Oryzias latipes: one gene and its partner. The protein of the gene in region 1 purifies or fractionates together with the protein of each later gene. This does not show direct contact. Links are inferred from orthologs where the notes say so. Each region holds a gene or a part of one and is shown on either strand. Other genes may lie near its edges.

Evidence for each region. The genes of interacting proteins can lie anywhere in the genome.
Region 2: the proteins of rnd3 (region 1) and plekhg5 purify together in Homo sapiens (affinity purification with western blotting; 3 studies listed by BioGRID and IntAct, with this or other methods). This does not show direct contact. The link is inferred for Oryzias latipes from reciprocal best matches to the Homo sapiens genes RND3 and PLEKHG5.

The regions. Positions count from the first base shown.
Region 1 is NC_019860.2:17,608,106-17,612,445, reverse strand, and holds the start of rnd3 (rho-related GTP-binding protein RhoE), read left to right. Parts: upstream 1-1,474; 5' UTR 1,475-1,596; coding exon 1,597-1,746; intron 1,747-1,829; coding exon 1,830-1,917; intron 1,918-4,340. UniProt on the Homo sapiens protein: Binds GTP but lacks intrinsic GTPase activity and is resistant to Rho-specific GTPase-activating proteins.
Region 2 is NC_019865.2:24,328,725-24,331,072, forward strand, and holds part of plekhg5 (pleckstrin homology domain-containing family G member 5), read left to right. Parts: intron 1-456; coding exon 457-576; intron 577-741; coding exon 742-874; intron 875-982; coding exon 983-1,098; intron 1,099-1,183; coding exon 1,184-1,329; intron 1,330-1,764; coding exon 1,765-2,348. UniProt on the Homo sapiens protein: Functions as a guanine exchange factor (GEF) for RAB26 and thus regulates autophagy of synaptic vesicles in axon terminal of motoneurons. Involved in the control of neuronal cell differentiation.

The DNA.
Region 1 (4,340 bases):
CTCTTCAACAGAACCCTTTTTTAATGCGGTAGGTAGGGTAGAAATCAAGTTTTAAACTTCCTTTGCAACTTTATCATCCTGGCCTTTTTCAAAACTATTTTTATTTGTTTTTACTTTGTTGTCATGAAATCCATATTTTCAATCCAAGCTTAAATACAAAAGAATATTACAGCCATAGGGAACAAAAAAAGGCATTAGTAGATTTTTTTTTTCCTTTAAAGAATCATAGCTTTCATCTCAGAATTCAAACATGTTGTGTTCTGGGATTTGATTCAAATTTTTGACTTTTTTTCTTCAAATTTGGAGATCAAAGTTGGAAATTAAATTTAAAAAAACAGAATTAAAGTCAGAATCTTAGAATTGTTGACTCCGATTGTTAAGTTTAATTCTCACAATTTTGATTTGGTTTCCAAGGTTTCCTACTCTAATCTTGGAATACAAACAGTCAGAATTTCAGGATTAGGGTTAAAATTGTTAGGAAAAAAAGTCAGGACAAAAACAGAATTCTGAGGTCCAGACTTTAATCTCAAAATTTGGACTTCTTTTCCTCAGAATTCAATATTTAATTTGCAAAACGTTTACGGGCGAAATGCAGACAGGCTGCCCAGGCCGGTTGTAGGATGATGTCATGAAATGGGCGGAACCCACACGGAGCGAGAGGCGGTGCTTCAGAGATCGAGTCTATTACTTCCAGGTTGGAAAAGAACTCAGGAAAATGACTCATATTTAATAAAATAAAAAAATTATTTAGTGCACCATGGGTAATATACAGTCAGGAGCTAAGCCATTTTTTAAACACAATCCTTTCATTTCATGGGCTCGTAAGTAATTGGACAAATGAAATAACTGAAAACAAAATGGTCATTACTAATATTTGGTTGAAATCCCTTTGTTGGCAATGGCAGCCTGAAGTCTTTAAATTAGAATTTTAAAGACAAAAAATTATAATGCTAAATTTTAAGTCAGAATTTTAAGATTAAAATCAATATTCCAAGATTAGGTTGGAATTCTGAAATTAAATTGAGCATTTTTAAAGAATTCAGAATTTCTCACCACTTTATTTCCATTATGTTCCTTATCCTCTTCCATACTCAAAGGAAATCAACAAAATTAACTTTGTCTCGCATTTGGCCAAATGTTCGAGAGCAGCCAGTACTTTTATGTAGGTTATTTTATTTATTTATTTTATGTTTGCACGACTTGCAAAATGCTAATTCAATGTCTTATTTGGCATAAACAAGTTACCTCCTGGTTTTAGTGAATATCTATATTTTGGTCAGAGCTTCAGCCAAACGTCAGCATTCGTCTTAATCACACATTTTATTTATTTTATATTTATATCATTACAAATTTGAGTTTTTCCCTCCAACGGGGGCTCCAAACCCAGCAGTGACGCAGATGGGCGGGGCATGTTCAGGAGAGCGCCTCTCTGATTGGCTCGTGCGGCGGTATAAAGCCAGACCGAAGCGTTTCTACCGGCTCTGAACAGACGGAGATACCCGCGGACACCGACAGTCTCCCAGGCCAGCGAGGAGGGAGTTCCCCCGCTGACAGACGGCCCCCAGCTGTGGACCCATTTCCCGTGATCGTAACTCAATGAAGGAGAGACGCTCCGGCCAGAAGTCCTCTCTGAAGTCCAGCATGGATGCGAGTCAGAGTGTGAAGTGCAAGATAGTGGTGGTGGGGGACAGCCAGTGCGGGAAGACCGCGCTGCTTCACGTGTTCGCCAAGGACTGCTTCCCGGAGGTGAGACGCCGCAGACTCACGGCACGAAGATCCCGTGAACGCATCACGGGGAAAACGTCAAATTCTGTGTGTTTTTCCTTCAGAGTTACGTTCCCACAGTGTTTGAAAACTACACGGCCAGTTTTGAGATCGACACCCAGAGGATCGAGCTCAGCTTGTGGGACACTTCAGGTAAACATTTAAAACACCAAACTTTATTGTTTTTTTTTTTTTAAATTATCAATAATCAAATGAATCCCTGACTCATTTTAGTGGAGGATGCTGGGAGTTTTACAAAATAAATGCAATTTTTCTTTTTTTTTTAAACCTCCATTTTTGGATTATTTGCATTAAAAACATTTCAGTGGATGATTCATCGGATCTGACTCTAGGAACCAAAACCAAAAAACTTGGCCCAGCTGGTATTCCAACTCATTTTGGGGAATTCTTCTCACTTTTCTGAGAATGTGCAACTTTTCATTGACTGGTTCACTTTTTGCCCTTTTATCTAAGGTTTGTGCACCCCCCCTTCCCCAGAAAAAAAACACCCCTAAAACTGCTGGGATCCAGAGGTGTTTATCTCCACTGTGTTTGTCTGGAATCACAGAGGTTTGGCCGCCATGGAGGCACACACTGCAAGTGTGCAGAGGCATGTGGTGTGACCGTGTGGGAGAGAGGGATGGGTGGGGAGAAGTTGGCCGCCAGCTGTTGTGGGTTCCTGGTCTGGAATTCCAAACATTGCGTCGGAATAACTTGGAACACGGGAACCGGCTCATGAGTTTCACACGAGGGCCCCCCCCCCCAAAGCACAGAGAACCCTACCACCCCTTGATTGATGGGTGCTGGTTTCCAGTGTCGAATCTTGTGGGAGGGGGAAGGGTTGAGCAAGGCCGGGAACTGCACCTATCCTTTGTTGCGGTGTGGTGTGTTTTGGTATTTGCGTCATTTAGTGTAAACGCCTGCCAGTTGTTGGACCCTCCATTTGTCTGAGGGGAGGGGGTGTCATAGCAGGGCGAGGAGGACTTTGACTCATGTTTGCACGCCCCAACCAGCAGCAACGGCGCCGGGGTTGAACAGGACAGGAGCACCAACCCTCAGGCCCCCTCCTGACCGAAGGGAAAGTTAGCAAACGCCCAACAGGCTCGTTACTGTTGATCACAGGAGATGCATCAGATGAAGGTCCTTCCAGCTGGCATGCGAGACGCTGAAATTAGCTTCATTATTTATGACCTTTAGTTAACGGGAACGGTCGACGCTAGCTGTAAAGAACAGCCTGACGTGGTTATTGCCGGATAAACTTGACAAGTGTTGCTCATTTTGTCTTGCTGCTCAGTGTAGACTCTGAAATGAGGTTCGCTTCTGGTTCAACTCGGCACTCTTTTGTTGACTTTAACGTAAAAATATTTTTTTATTTAAAACGTCACAGTTTGACTTCCGGAGTGAAGTCTGTTTAAATCGAAATTGGTGTATTTCACAAAGCAACCACTAGAGTTTTTTTTTTTTTTTTTTTTTTTTTTTTTAACGCCTAGACCTCTATATTAAATGAAACGTCAAAAAAGTCCTATCGATAGGACTTCTTTAAATGTTGACTTGCAAATGTCACACTTGAGGGTGCTATTCCTTTGATTTTAACGCCAAATTCTTTGATCTCGAAAGACTTGGTGGTCGTATCTCAAGTTGGCAATTTTTAGAAATATATTTTCTAAAAGATGAAATCACTGACTCGTATTGTATCTTCCTTATTTCTTTCAGTTTAAGATGCCTAAACCGTAAAATTGTTCTTTTACATTTTGTGCGACCTTGGAAATAGGTTCCATAATGAATGATGAGGCGGCTCTTATTCATGCCTCCTTCATTTACACTCATACCTTTTTTCAATAGAAGTTTTCTGCATCTTGAAAGTGAATAGAAACTTTTGCAAAAAAAAACAAACAAAAGCTTGCGTTTCTTGTTGCCATGGAAACGGGATAATTGATAAATGGTTAATTCTTCTTGCCTTGCCACTCTTTTGTTGACATGGAAACAGGAGATGTAGCCAAATAATTTCCTCTCTAAACTGTATGTCTTTATGTTTTAAAGGGAATAGGCAGCAAAGTTTCTATAGATCTATGCTAAATCTGATCCTAAATGCATCATCCAGCTCTGAGGGGAGGCTAAATGTGAGTCAGTGTTTGCCAGTTTTGAAATGTCTATAATAGTTTGACTCGTTGCACAACTCTTCCCTGTTTATGCTTTACTGTTGTTTCCATAGACTCTGTCGTAACCGTGCCGACGCGTTTGGACTTTCAGAGTTTGAAATGCTGGTTTTGTCAGAATGCTGGTCTGTGTTTGACGCTGCAGGGATGTTGATCCAAAGCAGATGTTCCTACAGTCAGATGTGAGGGTTTCTTTTTGGGTTTTGCAACTTATTGTTTGAGCAATCTGAGAGCTAAAAGAGTTTTTTTATTTATTTTTTTGGATTTTCCTGGAAAACATGCTGATGTGAATCGGTACTTCGGCTGTAATTGGAGTTCCTTGTTGCTCGTTTTAGGAGAGTTTCCAAAGCCTCAGAGCATAAATGTTGCGATAAAACCCCATCAGCAGCTCAGCAACCACAGGAATTGATTTCTCAAAGG
Region 2 (2,348 bases), on another chromosome or scaffold:
CTAACAAGTGTGTTATTTTACATAGCAGATCACCTCCATAAGTTAATTTTATTATAGTTATATATAACCAATAAATGCATTTTGCAAGAAATTTTTTTCTGCCTTTTTTCGTACCGAAAAAATACCGAAAATGTATCGAACCGAGACCAATGAAATTCTGAACCGAACCAAATTGGGATTTTAGTGTACCGTTAAACCCCTAGTATTTACAGTACCCAACCTTGTAGGCAACAGGTAAAAAACAGACTGATACCGCTAAAACAACATTACTGTGACAACGCAAACTCCAAACCTTGTTTGCAACACGTAGAAAAAAACAGACTGACCTCTTAAAACCGCTCCAACATCAGTAAACACAACCAGAATGAATCCATCCAGCCTGCATCCCGGGCTCCCAGCACCCGTCGAGGCTCGAGGTAAAATTGGAGGCTTCACGCTCTTCCCGTCTTCTTTTAGATCCTCAAAGAGTACAACCGCTTCGATCTGATGGCTCCCATGAGGGGAACGTCGCCAGAGGAGACTCGACAGCTGCAGCTGGAGGGAGCGCTGAGGATGAAAGAGGGCAAGGACAGCAGGGTAAAAGCACACCACTCCCTATAAACACTCCATTATCGCTTACCTCTGCCAAGAAGCTACACCTGCTTTCAGTCTGTTGCCTCATATTTCACGTTTAAAATGTTTACTTTTTTTTTTTAAAAGCTGTCCCAACTTTACATACAATTCAATTCATTTCCTGCTCAGATGGACGTCTACTGCTTCCTGTTCACTGACCTGCTGCTGATTACCAAACCGGTGAAGAGGCTGGAGAAGGTTAAGGTTATCCGCCAGCCCCTCCTCATCCACAACATCGTCTGCAAAGAGCTGAAAGATCCTGGTAAGAGTTCTGCTGCTGGTCCGACTGTGACGGCCGGGATTACCTAAACTTTTTGTTAAAGACTGAAGCAGGAAAGTTTAATTTCATGCCTTTTTTTTGTCCCTTAAGGCTCCTTTATCCTCATCTACCTCAACGAGTTCAACAGCGCTGTGGCGGCCTACACTTTCCAGGCCAACAGCGCCACTCAGGGGCGATGCTGGATCGATGCAATCTACAACATCCAGGTTGGTAAAACAGAAATGGTTCATATTGTTTTTAGCTCTGAAATGGCTCAGATTGTAAAATGTGCTTCCTGGGTTGTTTTTCCAGAATCAGCTGCAGAGGCTTCGCAGCGAGGAGGACCTGCGGCGGCAGCAGCGCCCAAGGAGCTGCTCCGGGGTGGACGTTGACGATGAGAGCAGCAACTCCACCACGAGTTCCCCAATCCTGCAGCATAAAGAGCAGCAGAACTCCAGGTACATTTACAAATTCCTCAATAACGGAGCGTGCTGAGACCCGCTATGCGTTGGCGCATGCATCAGAGGGTTTTCGATTGACCGTTTGGCATGTCTATCAAGACGTATTTCAGAGCGAGGCTGATGGTCATGTAAATAAATGAATAAATCTATTTTTCTTGTATCTTTGATGGCCTACTATCCCCCGGCACTTCCATCACGCTTGACCGGTTGATCGCGATTGATGTATCGGACGGTCTTGCCTTAAGAAGCGCCCATCAAAAAAATCAATAGTAAATGTGATCTTTAAACCCTGCCGTTGGCTTTGGGACAAGTTTAAAGAACAAAAGAGCTAAAGTTTTTGTGTTTCAAATAATTTTGAAAAGACCTGATTTTCCAAAAATGCTTGATCTGACTCATGTGTTGTTTAGGAAGTAAAATAAATGTCTCTTGCAGTCATTCAGACGGCTCCACTGAGACGCTGTCGGTGATGGACATGGAGGAGCGAAGCGAGCCCCCGCCGCCCCCCAGCATAAACATCGAGGAACCCGGGGATAAGTCTCCTCTGTCTGACAGCTCAGACCTCCAGAGTTCCCCCCAGCTGAACGGTCTGGAGGTAGAGGGGCTGGACGCTCAGTGCCGGTCTCTCTCCATGGACAGCGCCTACGGTACCCTCTCCCCGGGATCGCTCTCTCGGGAGCTGCAGCCGCCGCCCGGCCCAAGTGAAGGGGAGGAAACCGAGGAGGAGGACGGAGATCGAAGGAGTAAGGGAGAGGAGCAGGGGGAGGCGGTAACCGAGGAGCTGGATGATGAAGAGGAGGAGGTAGAGGAGGAAGAGGCCGCTCTGGGGTCTCAGGCGTCCGTTGCTCTGTCCAGTAAACCTCGCCGGCGGCCTCACATTCAGTCAAAGCTGCAGTGCCCACAGCGGCTGTCCGCGCTGTCACGCTCCGAGGACAACCTCCTGCAACGTTTCCACGGCGACGCCCCCATCTCTCATGCACACTTGGTCAGCTCCGCCTCCAAGGAATCAGAGCGCAGGG